2 linked regions of the Lepisosteus oculatus genome follow. The protein of the gene in region 2 binds, or shares a complex with, the protein of the main gene of each other region. Links are inferred from orthologs where the notes say so. Each region holds a gene or a part of one and is shown on either strand. Other genes may lie near its edges.

The links. Proteins that work in one complex are often made in the same cells at the same time.
Region 1: vps39 (region 2) and vps41 share a complex: the UniProt entries of both Homo sapiens proteins name them as parts of the homotypic fusion and vacuole protein sorting (HOPS) complex. The link is inferred for Lepisosteus oculatus from reciprocal best matches to the Homo sapiens genes VPS39 and VPS41.

The regions. Positions count from the first base shown.
Region 1 is NC_090701.1:20,679,158-20,687,164, forward strand, and holds the start of vps41 (vacuolar protein sorting-associated protein 41 homolog), read right to left. Parts: upstream 3,071-8,007; 5' UTR 3,027-3,070; coding exon 3,006-3,026; intron 1-3,005. UniProt on the Homo sapiens protein: Plays a role in vesicle-mediated protein trafficking to lysosomal compartments including the endocytic membrane transport and autophagic pathways. Acts as a component of the HOPS endosomal tethering complex.
Region 2 is NC_090703.1:20,304,108-20,311,678, reverse strand, and holds the start of vps39 (vam6/Vps39-like protein), read right to left. Parts: upstream 3,100-7,571; 5' UTR 3,087-3,099; coding exon 3,014-3,086; intron 1,300-3,013; coding exon 1,234-1,299; intron 273-1,233; coding exon 208-272; intron 1-207. UniProt on the Homo sapiens protein: Regulator of TGF-beta/activin signaling, inhibiting SMAD3- and activating SMAD2-dependent transcription.

The DNA of each region.
Region 1 (8,007 bases), on a different chromosome or scaffold from region 2:
CCCGTTTCATCCTATCCCACAGTGACCTGCACAGAAATGTTCATTTCCACTTACAATTCAGTTTCTAAATGTAGTATTACTGTATAATGATAATAATAATATTATTATATTAATTAACATTAATGTAATAATATCATCCAGGTGGATGCTGCACATTGGTGGTGGTGGAGGGGAGTTCCCATTACCTGTAAAGCGCTTTGAGTGGTGTGTCCAGAAAAGCACTATATAAATGTAAGCAATTAATTATTATTATTATTATTATTATTATTATTATTATTATTACAAACTAAAAATTAAATACTACCCAATACTAACATACAGTATATACTTTATAAAAATGTCTTTGGCATTTCAGGCTTTGAAAAATATGCTACACAAACATTCAATATTTGATCGCAGAATATTCGATACATTTATATTGAGTTAATACTAAGAATAATTCCTTGCAATTATATAGAGCTTTTCAACTCAGAAGATCTCAAACCTCTTCACAAACAGGAGGAGACTCACTACATCCAACATCTCAGTGCTGCACAAACCTGGGTGACAAATGCATCAGTAGCCCAAATACCCAAAAAATTAGATGGAGAAGTGAGCAATTGCTTCAGCAACTGAACTAAGGAGGAACTATAGGCAGGCCAGACTGAAGCAAGTACAGAGTGGAATGTAGGTAGGACATGGGCTAACACTCCTACTCATACAGACTGTGCTTTGGGATCACCAATGACCAGGCAGTCAGGATCTCCGTTTCACATCCCATCCAAAGGACAGCACCTCCAGTAGCACAGGGTCCCAATGGGACACTGGTGTGGAAATTCTGGTGCAGATGGAAGAGCGCCACCTACTGGTCCATAAGTACAGCAGCAAGTAAGGTCACCCATTGCTGTACTGACCGAGATCAAGCCCAACCTTGCTTTGGCTCTCAAATCTGACAAGACTGGCATTGCTGGTCACAAATTTTAAATGGGATGTCATAAAAACAAAACAATTTATAACTTATTTATTTATGAATTATCTAGCTCTGTTGAAGATAACTTAGAGATTTAAGATATCCCTTCAAAACATTAACTAAAGAAATACCAAAACTCTATTTTGGGCTTTTATTTAGTGGTGCTAGAAGTGAAAAACAAAAAGGAACTGAAAACATTCTGACTGCAGTCTTGTATGATTTTCATCATAGTCCATAAATAAAAGTTCAGACATACTGTTACTAATAACTGTTACATTACTGTAACTAATGCTTCAAAAATGTTTTATTTTTTAGCTTATATACTGTATGAATCTAGAAGCAAGGAATATTTAAAAATTAAGACATGTTACTCCTCTCTTTTAGAGACACAGTGTCAAAATTTACCCTTTATATTTCTGTTTAAATCAGGAAATTGGGAAGTTTAAAAATGAGAGGAAGACATTTGGCCTGCCCACATCATTTAGTAGTTAGTAGTTAATTTATCCCTAAGTCCCATCCAGCTGTGTCTCTAAAGAAGCCATGGTACTGGCTTCAAGTAGAAAGTGGCTGGCCAGCTTGTTCCATTCTCTCACAAAGCTTTGTATAAAGAAATGCCTCCTGTTCTTGGTTTAACATACACTTCCACTTGTGTTCCCTGATTTGTGTTTCACTTAGGTCTTATGTTTCATAATATATTTAATAAAATGCAATATGAAAAATAAAATAACTAGAAGGATGCTTCCTGCTAATCCCTGTATCTTGATTTTACCTTAAATGTGTTAAATGTAATGGTGAAATAATAAAAAAATAAAGATTTCATACATCCATCCATTTTCTAATACAGGGTGATATCCTGGCAAGCAAAGGACACAAGGCAGGATACACCCTGGCTGGGACGCCAGTCCATAGCAGGGCACACATCAGGGCAAATTTTCCTGCCGGTATGTCTTTGGACTGTAGGAGGAAACCGGAGCACCAGGAGCAAAAACTCACATGAACAACTGTAACAAATCTGGAAGCTAATTAACAAACCTCAGGAACTACATGCATGTGCAGAACTGGGCATGGAAAAACTGACTTCCTGTGAGAACATGAGTTAATTGGGTAGTTCACATTAATTTGCCTTTTCCTTTCACCTCACTGAGTTTTTTCTTCATCCCTGTGATTTGTATTGCTGACAATTCGCTGATTATGGTTAACATTAGGCATGTCCATGCTATCTTATTATTCCATCCAAACAATTAAGTACGACTGATGATGACAAACACTAGTTTGTGCAGGTTTCGATTTCCGATTATCATTACATCCTCAAGCAGCCCTTATCTAAATCAGTTCTGCAAAGAATTCTAGCTTCTATATTTCACCTGAATTCATCATTACAAGGTAGAGCACAGGTCTAATGAGCCATTCTCCAGTGAAATGTGAAATATACAGTATTATGCTGTTTGTCTGAGGTTGTATAACTATATTAGTCCTGTAACACAAGTAGGAAAGCCAGAAATTTGTAAACACCCAGTGGCTGATTTATCTAGGACATTTCCGGTCCCCCTACAGCAGTATGACAACAGATAGGTCTTACATAAAAAGACAGGCCACTGCACGATTACAGATCTTGAACTGTCAAGAACTGTAGCGCGCTAATTCTTCGTTCAGCTACGCCATCTCGTAATTTACGTTAATTAATGTTCAGTGACTGACAGTAAATGTGAGCTAGGAAAGAAATGATTGTACAACATGCATTACATTGTCTCATTCGTGAAAAAAGCTTAGTCACTGGCTTAAGTAAATCGGGAATAAACTAATGTGTTATAAAATTATTAGATTGGTCCTAGTTTCTTCGAAAACCTCAGTGCATTTCAAATAGAAAATCAGAATAGACATCCTTGCTTCCTTCGAAAGTCTACCCTCTTTTATATGTCTGACTTGTTTTTCTTTCACCTTAAATACTCATCTTGTAAAAGCACACTTAATAGCCCAATCTACTTTCCAAAAGCTGACAGCTGTACACTGCATTTATATATTTGCTGTTTTACAGTACTCAGCACCAGATACCTACCTGCTCTTCTGCTTCCGCCATGATGCAGCTCTGTATCACATGACAAAAACAGGAAGCAGGTTGCGAAGCTCTCTGGGATGTGTAGTTTTCTCAGAGCGCGCACCGTGCCGTCTCGCTTTTACATCCTGACATTTAAACATGTTTCAGCGCGATGTCTTCTGAGTGGTTCGCTGGCATCACCAGTGTAAGCAACTATGGAGAAAGAAACTTATTCGTTTTATTCACGAGCAAAATCAAATAACAAGTCACAATTTCTGATTTCAATTAGTTATTTTTTTAACATGGGAAAATTGATTAATACGTAGACCACCCTTACGTTTTTAAAATAAATTGTCAACGCAAATCACAATTAAAATATACGTTTACTATTTTGTTTATATTGGTCAATAATAATAGTACTAAGAATAATAACCTGGGCAGGCTTGAAACTATGAAGAGAACAGTGGTTAATGAGCCATAAGAACTTGACTCGGGCTCCTTGCTCGCTACTCGAATATGTCAAATCATCTGGCGATAGACCTCTTCGATAGTATTCAAGTAAATAAAAGCATAAATATAGACATGTATCTATTGAACCGGTATACGTTTTGCAGATAATTTTAAGAAAATATTATGCATTTACTATCTTATAACAGTTGCAGAGGTCAGTATTGCTACATTCCTCTCCTGAGATGTCCGAGGCTGTAGAAAAAATAGCAGAACAACAATATCGCTGCCTTGAATTGATTTCACCACAAATCCAAAATAAAAAAAAATGTCGTTATTAAATAAGAGTCATAGAATAAACTACGTAGATTTTCAGGCATTGTTCTCATGTTTCTTAGGTGCGTTTTTTATTTCAATGCAAATATTTGTCATAAAATAACTGCAATTGATAAACATTTATGATTCTTTGAATTGTGTTGATCTCGATTTCTTGGTCGTTGTTTGATAGCGTGTTCTTACATGATGATGATGATGATGATGATGATGATGATGATGATGATGATTATTATTATTATTATTATTATTTATAAATCGGTGTTATTGGCTGGTAGACAATATCCCACACCCGAAGACAGAGGTCGCTATTGGGTAGCTACATGAACATGTTTCTTCTGCTTCAAAGAGAATGTGCGTTTCCAAACTTCAGGGACTATGCGCGTTTAGGATATATTGGAATTGCGAATATATTGGAATTGCTTGTTTCTAAAACGTACTTAATTTAAAAGATTGCTGTCCGGTGAATGCTAATTATGCATAGGTAAACGCTGTGTGAAACTATACGAGCTTAACCTCAAATAAAATAAATGCTGAAACGAATCGGGGGGTTTCCTTGCTGTGTCGCTTTTTTGAATACCGACAGACGATCTAACTGAACAGCTTGTCACTACTTCATCATCCGCAAACGAAGAGCTGAGCTGTATTCATGAGAAATTGGAGTATTAGAAAATTAAATATGTTATTCCAGTTGGTTCGAGAAAATGAGTTTCAATTAGCGATATGCGATTGTAACTTGAAATGTATCCTCATTGATAGCTAAACATGTATTTTCACTGAGGATAGCGAATGTATAAATCTACTTTTTATGCTATTTACAGTTAATAAAATAAACACATTTTTGCAGATAGAGAGGCTAATTAAGGAATCGAGTAAATGCTTAATTTTTATTCCCCGGTGAAGGTAACTAGCTATCACAAAGTGTAAGCACTGGCAGATTTTATTTTTGCGTATTATTTTAAAATGAGGTAATTACTGTATAAATGTGAACAATAGTATAAAAGTTGAAGAAAATCACACTGGCCCTTGTAAAAGCTGGCGGACTGTTCAGCTGATTTGTTTTGCTTGCACTTGTATTAATGCAAGGTAGAGATAATATAAATAATAACGTATGATTGGTATTAGATAATACTGTAAATAAAATTGCACTATATCTGTTAAAATAACCTAAACGTGTTTCTCCTTTAAAATGAAAGTTTCTGAAAACCAGTAATAGCAGAAACTGCAACAAAAAATATAAAACAGTGATAAAAACACTTCACATTGCCTAGAGATATACATATAGAGAGAGGAATACTTTATATTTCCCCTGTTGAAAAATAAAGCCAGACACAGAACGTACAGGTACAGTATTTCAAAAACCTTCTAAATTGCTTGCATGGATGATGCTGCATGATGTTAACGAACGACTTCGAATTAAACTCAATTTAATCAAGGTCATTTTTATAATATAATCCCTTAATCAAATGACTTTAACATTTTTGGAAAAATGTGCCTTCTTCCATAACGATGCACTGTTTATATATGCTACCATTTCCCCGTAGTTTTATACAGGATCTATTAAGCATCCTCGGTTTTTTTATCGGATCTAGGTTTACTGGTCAATAAGACGATTAAGTATTTCAGATAGAATATTATTGAGTACAAGCGGGCTTTTTAATAAACCTATAATATGTTCAGATATATCCGGAGTATCCACCCGGGAAGTCCCCTGGGAGGGCCTGTCCATCTGCAAAAGAGATATGCAAAGTTGATCTTTAAATCTTTTTAATGCAGGTTGAAGGAGCATGTCAAGGATCAAATTATAACTTCGATTATTTATTCGTAATCCATTGTATTCACACAAACATTAGAAAAGTGACCACAGCCGTAATGAAGTCAATTACAAAAAAACTGCCACATCGCGCTAAAATAGATCCAGAAATCCCTGGTTCTGCAATAATTCAGAAAAAACTCTTCATTAATTTAGAATATTACAGCTAATAGTTTATTGTTGATACACTGTCGACTTGATAATTGAGAGAAAAAGAAGTAAACAGACATCTGCGCTAGCTGTCGAAATAAACGAAACAGCGTATAATTTAACACGTTATTATTCTTTGAATATGGTGTAATTTTCTGGATGTTTCTTTGATATGCAGGGTAAATAATTATGATTAAAACTAAGTAAGAGCTCTTAATAGTAAGTTGCTAAGTAAAGACAAAGTATCCTTTGGTAAATTATACAATAACACGTGTAATAATCAAAACCTACACAACATTTATTGCAGTCTTTATCTGAGTTCTTTGCCAGTGGTGCCAATTAATGTATTACTGATGGTCCTGGACCCAGCAGAAAGCTATTTAATTCCTACTTGGTCTCTTGGCATCAGCAAATAGCTGACTATTTTACAATACACCAGGTAGTGAATACAGGTAGTGAGTATTCCTTTTAAAAACTCATACAATGCATGGGAGTACAGTATGTGTTTTGGGTCTGAGAGCATTTACAGGGTGGGTTGGGAGTGGTATAAGAGTGTGTGTCTTTGTGGACTGAAGGGGGTCACATGACTTTTTTCATCCTATTTGGTAGAGCTGCTTGACTTTTTCTGCTTTTGGTGATAGCCGTGACTCTACGAGCAGGCATTGATTGACAGATGCATACCAGAAAGCCCCTGTTTGCCTTTCACAGACTCCATATGATGGATTGTGATCTCCCAGGCCAGCTGGACACAGAGACCATGAATGCTGTAATTGGTCAGGTATGGAGTCAGCCATTTCTCAATACGTTGTCTTTCATATATTGTTCACTGCTGTGCAAAATCCTTCACATCTTAGATACAATCAGGAGTTGCACTATATGCTTTTATGGGGATCAATAATTTACACAAAACCTCCATTAGTTTTCTCTTACTTTAGTGCCTTTGATATTAATACAGATAAATATAAGTGAGACAAGAAGAAAACAACCTTGTCATTTAGCAATTTTTAATTTACATTGATCAGAGTTTTCAAGAACTTTATCACAACACCTGTGGGTAGAGTACAGTATATATGAGCAACCAATACACAGTGTTGTAGTAACTAATTCTCCACATATACTAATCATTTCTAATTGACTACTTTTCTTGTTATGTGTTCCTTTCTACACAAACATTAAGCTAGTAGTGTACAAGGCTACATTGATGTACTACAAAATTCAGATGAGGATTAAGTGTTAGCATTGTTCAAAAGAGCTATAATTGTGATAGCATTCTGACAATTTTTTCTTCATGAAGAAGGAAAAACTCAGTGATAAGAGTAGACAATGTCAAATGTCTAAGACTTTTGCACAGCAGTCTATATTTTAGTATGTTAGAGGTTATATATGTATGTATACTATAAGTGTGAGTAGTCAGGGGTTGCAATAAATCCTATGACAGGAGCTTTCTGCTGTTAAGAGACTTGTGCTCTAGGAACACTCTCAGGTTTGACTGGGAATCTGGTTCCCCTGCTGTTTTCCTAGGTTTGTAATTTAAAGTGACCTTTGATAACATTTTTTTCACAGCCTGCTTGCACATAATGACAGTGCTTAATATAAGTGTGCCTGGAGGGTATAAATTGTGCACGTGCACATGTGTGAGGCTGAGAGTGTTTTCTGTTGATTGCCTGAAGATTAGAACCAACGCATGAATCTGAACTAAACTGTTTTTTTTATTCAGTACCGGGTCAACACAGAGTGTACGGTGCTCTCCATGCTCAGCTCCCCGTCTTCTTTTACTCCTCAGCAATGTGATGTTCGATTCGGCTCTGTAAATGTACCCATCCCCTGTCGTGGCACTACAGGGCTCTGTAAATGAGACACTGCCACAGTTATAAAAGTCCAGGTGCTTCACTACTGCTCCTAATGCAATCATGCAACAACAGCTGTAAGAGACAGGATTGTCTTGCTTTTCCATCAGGCGCCAGTGATATTATATACAGTATATATATATATGTGATTCCTTTTTGCCTTTTCTTTTAGATAACTATGCTAGGAATTCCCATGTTGTAAAGAATAATTATCAAGTTTCTCCCATTTGAGGCTTCTGGGTTATTTTGTCTCACTGTCTTGACAAAAGAAGGTTTCCTGTGGGTTTTGAATTTTTGCCACTATGGCTTTGTAGTGATCTGCTACTGAAATATCTTATCTTCCACCATTTCTTCTAAAATGGCAAAGTGTTATCTGGGCTTGTAGAGCTCTGAAGGCTGGCTATTAAACACTCCTTTAGAAACTCAATTGATA
Region 2 (7,571 bases):
GTCCTGGAGCTGTGAGACAGCAGCGCTAACTGCCAAACCACAGGCCTGCCCCATTTATTAAATCATACCGACACTAAACACAATAGCACACTGCTTCAAATGGGACAATCAGTCCACTGCTGGCCCGACTAATTTAACACAAAAATGCACATGCATATGAAACAATAGTGAATGACATCAGTCCACAGAAGTTACTTTACCACATACCTGCTGAATTTTCTTGGAGAAGTTTTTGTTGGATTTTTCCAGCGTTACTTCAAACCTGTTACTGCCTATAAGGAAGGCACAAGAAGTCTGGTTACAGCATGGAAACTGGCAAGGCCAGCACATCCCCAATTTCTGCGTCTACACCCATACATACAAAAGAACAGGGCTGTCTTTGACAACAAGTCTCTTATTTCCCTTGTCGGGACAATGGGTCTTTATGAAGAACTGTACAAATAATTACTGAATGTCTGCCTGCACTACGGCATGCCAAAAAATTAAAGTCGTAAACATCTACTGCTTTTCATTTAGTGTGTATTACACACTGGCAGTTTTGCAACAGTCTACTTTGCTGCCCCCACGCCCACTGCTATTTGCCATGGCATGATCCCTGCTAGAAACCAGACCAAATACGTTACTGCCATCCCAGTAGCTGGGAGGGCCAAGAAGTGAGCAAATCTGCTCTTAAGCACACTGGAAAAGCCCTATACACTGACGCCTGTGCAAGACCTATGTGCTTTCCCATCCTAACTTCATGGTGTCATTTTGACATGTAAGCAGCAGTGGTTAAGAACAGAGAGACTTCAAGTTACAATACAATACACTTAACACAGCACGCCCTGGTCAGTTTTCGCTATGTTAATACTACCGTTATTTTTGGAAACTAAAATCATAACCCAATGTTACAAAAAAAAAGATCTAAAATGGTGGACGCTAGCCAGAATAGCTTCTGTCATTTCATATTTCTGTTGTTGCGTCACGCAGAACAAAATAGACAAAAAGCTTTTAACGTCATCACATACAGATATCCCCCGGGCTTGAGATTCCGGAAATATGGCCAGAACCAAAGAAGAGACGTGAGATTATGGCCTAGAGCATTCTTTTAATCCAGCACTGTTAATTTAACTGGCTGCTAAGCAATTCATTTCACGCATTTTAGCAGAAGAGAAGGCTGGAAGTGAAACAGGGTTTCAACATGCTGATACAGGTGACTTGAACTGCTCTTCAGCAGCGCGTGAGGGAGCCCACCTGAATCCTTCTTGACTCTGTACAGCAGCAGGTGTCCTGGCTTGGTCCCCACGAGCAGCCAGTCCTCTGTAAAACACATACAGTGGTCACTGGAGAAGAACACACTGCCCAGTCACTGGGCAATCACTCTCCTTCAAATAATTATACCAGCTAAGAAACAGCTTGGGTGAACAAAAACTATTAAACACCGCAGCCTAGAAAATCAGCTTTAGCTCCTATTGGAAAATTTAACGTGAAGTCACTGTGTCATAGCTCACCTTGCATTTTCCACATTAGACTCACAGATATTTGTCGCACCAGAATTTACTGCTTATGTGAAGAACATTTAGTAAAATCCGAAGAAACCTTCCCAATACAAAAATGAAATTTTAAAATATCAAAAATATGTCCCTTCATTCATTTTCTAACTTCTTCCTCCACTGCAGAGCTGGAGCCTATCCCAGCAAGTAACAGAGACAAGGCAGGGTACACCCTGGATGGGATGCCAGTCAGACGCTGAGCAGACATACAGACACACAAACACACTCACACCAGGGCCACTTTTCCCAGAAGCCACTTAACCTATCAGTATGTCTTTGGTCAACAGGAGGAAACTGGAGCACCTGGCAAAAACCCACACAGACAGGGAGAACACCCCACGACGATAACACCCCAGATCCAAACTTGAACCCAGGGACCCAGTGCTGAGAGGCAGCAATACTAACCCACTGTGCTACCCATCAGATGTTCATAACTTGTATTATATGGTTTTCGCAGTAGGCTACATTTGATAACTGTGTTGTTAAAGCTTTACTCTTATCTGTTTAGACTCATTGGAACAGGAACACTGATCAGCAGGTCTCACTGGGTCTGAATGACAGGAGCACTGCCCACCTACTCATTCAATTGGACAGTCTGAGCTCATTACTACCATACTGTATCTGTAAAACTATACACAAGGCAACCCAAATTAAATGTCCGATGAGGCAAAAATATACATAAAAATGTGTTCACTTATCTGAAAATAATGTTTTGGAAATTAAGAGAAAAGGCTTATGCTTTTTAATTAAAGAGAAAATGAAAGGATTGACACCAATTTACAGTTTGTAATGTTTATAACCTGTCCTTCCTCAATGTGTCCTGGAATTAAGCACCAAAGGAAATAAAGGGAATATGGATGAAACTGCGAAACTTGAAAATCCAGTTGCACAGGGTTCTCTCATCAAAACGCACAGGCCACCTGAGAAAGGAGTCAAATGATTCAGGAATGCTACATTTAGGGTTTTAAATCTGAGTCCATAAGCATCTAATTTCGCTAAGGAAATTACGAGGAGAATTGCATAAAGCGTTTGTACCTTTCATAAAAAATGGGTAAAACAAATGAAAAACAGAAAATGCAGCTACAAACAAAAACGTATTTCTTATGCTTCTTTTAATGTCATTCGAAGTAAATGTAAAATAACGCAAAATAATTAATCCTACATTTATTCTATAACTAATATTGAGAACAATACCTGAGGCGTGTGGATGTTATGTATACAAACATGTGATGTCATAAGTACAAAAATAATAAATTTGTACATATATAACATGTATGTAAACCAATGTAAAAACACGTTCAACAGTAATGAAAGCGAATGCGTGTTAAGTGCTGCCTAGGAACCAATGTCACTCGTTGACAAAGTTCCTCTTTTCTATCATGTCTCAATGCTCCGGAGAGCTCTCCATCAACTGTTCCGCTAAACTCGTAAAATTATATCACACTAAGTGGTCCCCATTCCCGGTCTGGTGGTTAACTCACCCCAGGCCGCCATGCAGTCTATCTGAAGAGGCAGCTTTTCCAGGATGGGGACCGCTTCATAGGCGTCGTGCATGGCCGGTTCAGCGACCTTCTCGGCCCGACTGGAAACCGCAACACAAGCCGCCGCAGGGTCTCAGGTCCTCCGTCTTCTCTACTGACAAGGCACAACTGCACCTGGCTTCTCTTTAGCTGTGCCGAGATCTTGAAGAGCTTCTCCGAAAAATAAGGCAAAGTCCTCCTCCTCCTGCAGATCACCAGCGCTTGGGAGCCGGGGTCTCTGCTGACGGCGAAGCCGACTCCGTGAAATTGAAATTCCGGCTGCGATTTCAGATCTGTGTTGTTTACATCCAGCTGCTCGGGAAAGGCTATAATTAAAAGGTGCACGAAACTGCAAACACCGACTTATCCTGTACCGAACGCCGTCAAACAGCTGATCGAAGGATGAGATTCATGTCGGAAGTAGCTGCAAATGTTTTTATTGGTCTGTTTCTTACTTCCTCTTGTTTGTGTCTACAGACCTGGCCCACACGGACCATGATACACACGTGATTCCCGATGCCCTTCTCACGTGGGGAACATTCAGAAGATCTGCTGTGCGGAAAAATATCTGTTTGGACTATGAAAGCCATCGACTACCTTCTGGTATATGTACTGTAGTTTAACGCTATAGAGAACGTGTCTTCTGGTTAAAACACAGAATAATGTACATTGACTGTATATTTATATGTATTTGACTAACATTCCTTCTAAAACTTAAATTGTCTTAACCTGATCAAGTTTCTTTCAGTGCTCCTGTCTGAACGAACTCAATCTCAGTTCTGGTGTGTCCATTCTGGTCCTCCAAAGGTATTTGTTGAAGCACAGTTTTGTTCTCAGATTCCACTGTTTCCAGTTTAATATTCTTTCCCAGGTCTTGAACTGTGGGGTTGCCGATATAAAGCTATTGTGCGTTACACTATGTATGATACCTACTGGACTGCTGCCCCCCCCCAGGACCAGGGTTAAACACTGCTGCTTTTGATATTTTCTGATCTGTTTTTTTCCATCAGCAGCCTTGCAAATACATTTGCACGGTGCGTGAATGGCACATAAAATTCAGTTTAGACACGTCAAACAAGTATTTTTAAACAGTTCTGTGTATCTAGGTCAGGCAAGTACTAAAAAACATTTGGCTAATGCCTAAATAAATCGGTGATGATGTAACTAGTTACGTATAAAATCTTATGTCACGTTTCTGAAGTTTGGATGTATCTGTAAGATTCTGATGAATCATTTTAATTAAGAAAAAATGGTCTTCTAGGGCTAAAGTACTCGATGGAGTACCAAATGACAAATCAGCTTCTTAATTGACCAGAATTAAATTTGTAGGTCTTTAGAAGGTGGTGATTTAATTGTAACCAATAAAACAAACCTCCCATGAAACTCTCAGGTTTGATTTTGTTATTTCAATGTACACACAAGACAGATACAAACAACGTTAAACATCTACCAGGCAATTCAGGGCGTTTTAAATGTAGTACTTTAGCATCCTTCAACAGATATATTTTTTCTTCACAGAAATGCAAAAGCTTTTAAGGCTGCCCGTAACTTTTTTCTGCCCTGCCATTGCAGGATGGCAAGTTAATGTTTTCCTCTCCGTTTTACTGTGTAGAGCAAGTGTCCCCATCTTTGGTTCTAGAGAAAACCAGTGCACCGGGTTTTATAGCCATCTAGTTTCACAGCAATTAAATTGTGATCAATTAGATGTAATTTAATGATTAAAATATAATTTGGAACAAATATCTGAACTTCCTGACTGGAGTTCTCCAGGACAGTGGCTCCGGATACTTGTCCTAAAGATTTTGCAAAACAACAGAGCCATAACGGTTATTACATTGACTATGTTGTTCTTGTGCATATTTACACGGTAATTAAGAGTGTTAAGAGTGGGGAAGCAAAACTAAGTGAGAAAAGACAGCAAGTGCACTGCAATTTACTAGTTTGACCTTCATTAAAAAGATTTTATTGATACTTTGTTGCAGGGCTGTAAATGCTGAGTGTTCTTTACAAGATCTGAATCAAGTAAATTGCACCCAAGTGAGAATAACTCACAAAATACTGTTTAATAGAAACTTTAATCTGGAAACAAATCATACATACAAAATTGGTTTTTTTTTACAAGCAGATCCCATTTCACACATACCAGTGAACAACACATGTTCTTTTTTGGAGAGTATATATCTTTAAAAAATACCCCACGTATTTATCATTAACTGCATCAGGACAAAGTCTGAGGCACTAAAATAAATTTGTGAAGTGCTCCACTATACTGTATAAACCACTGTTACCGGACCACTGACCAGTGACTGTATGATTATTATCCTAGGTCTCATGCCTTTAGTCTTCTTTAAGAAAGTAAGCCATATTTTACTTTTAACAAAACAGACAAAATTCTCACTTTAACTCCTAGAGCTAAAATTTCTTAGCATCACATATACAGCATCAAGAACATCCACAATCAGTGTCTGGGTAACAAACAATGGGGAGGTTGTACTGTAGCTGGTGTGAAGCAGAAAGCCCATCAGAATACAACCTTCTCTTCTCCCAGTGTACAGGTCTGTCTTCGTCATCAGATCGTAAGAGAATAAATCACAAAAATCACACCCTTTGTTAATGGTACAAAGGTCAAGTAAATTGAGTTTTGAAAGATCACGTATTTTGTTTGTCGATACATCCATTTTCTAACTGCTCTATCCATTACAGGACTGAGGGGGAGCCGGAGTCCCTCAAGCAACAGGCACAAGACAGGATACACCCTGGATCATCACAGTTCATCACAGGGCACACACAGTCATGTACACACTCACATCCGAGTCAGTTTTCCCAAGAAGCCAATTAAGCTACCAGTATGTCTTTGGATTGTGGGCAGAAACCAAAGCATCTTGAGGAAACGCATGTGAATATGGGGGGAACGTGCAAACTCCACACAGACAGCAACCCAGGGCCCAGCACTGCGAGGCAGCAATGGTAACCACTGCACCACCCCATTTTGCAGGCCTATTTTGTCCAGAGCAATAGCACGGAACAACAAAAGTGGCAAATAACTGGGATTTTGGTTTTATCATTGTGAACATATAAACATTTATTGCAATGTCTGATCACAGGCTGTGTACTGGACCACAGCCTTTAAAGAAAGATAAAATGTAATGAAAGTACAGAATAAGTGCTGACTGAGACTTCAAACTGTTTCATTTGGGATTCTTCTTTCCATTAAGAATTCTATATTTGGAAATGATTAGGGAAAAATAATTCCTTTTTAAAACAAAAAATAGTCACAATAGAAACAAAAGTTGACTAAGCATACATTTTAACTAATCTGTACAATCTACAAGAAAGCACTTCCCGTTATCAATGATCTGCACTAGATCCACTGCCCAGTCAACACATGTAGGACAATGCAGGCAGGTAGCTTCTTGAAGATCATAAGTGGAAAGTAGCTATACAGTACATTATACTGCAAGCTAGCAAAATAATCATAAGAAATACTACTTTTCAAACACATGCAAACAAAACATTAGGTAACATTGTAAAATTAAATTTAAAGCAGCCCGATCTCAGAGTCGAACTAAGCGTACATTAGTACGTGAACTGTTCCAATTTCAACCTTCATTTCAAGCGCATAGCGTAGTCTTTGAAGATTGGAGAATGAGCCCGACACTGTTCTCTGTAGAGCTAGGACAGTTTCATCATGTGCCAGGTGACTCAGAGCAGCTCTCTCCCTTAACCCATGATCATCGTCTATACTCCAGCTCAAGCCCACAGCTGAGCTGTAAAAGATTATTTCATCTGTGGTGTAAGACAGGCATGACACATCCCCATACTACAGCTTCTGAGTTAGGTATTACTTTGTAAACATGGTGATCACATTGTTTAGGCATTATCATCAATTTATGGCCATTGTGTTATTCATACATTGAAAATTGACTAGACTGCTAACTTGCATGTTAAAAAATTAACAAAAAATGGTTGTAAAAAATGTTTTCCTAAGGTAAAAGCTCTTTCAAGATATGTAAAATAAAACTTCATTCCTTTACCACACTAATGTGCTCTACAAATCACTGCTTGGATCATGGCAAATGGTGACATTGTACAGAAACTAATCCATAGTCCTTTACTGTCGATGCACGCTATGAAAAAAATCTGAAAGGACAGAAAAGAAGCCCTGGTGTGTTGAGAAGCTGGAAGACGAAACGTTTTCTTTAAGGTACGTGTAACAAATTGGGAGCCTTCATGAGTTAATAATAGCAAATGATAAAAATCATGACAGTTTTCAGGTGATTCAAGTGTGACGTTCTGAAAGCCTTCCCGTTTAAAGACATGGGAGACTCTGATCTCTCAAAAACGCTAATAAAAAATCAGACATCAGGATCTAACTTATATTAAATAAAAGCACACAAAGACTGCAAAACAGTCTGTAATGTACTGCTCAGTAAACCTCAATCCTTTTAATATTCATTGGATGCCTTCTTTAAGAATTTCCGAAATCAGAAACGAGAGAGATTTTCAACGCACCCTTAAA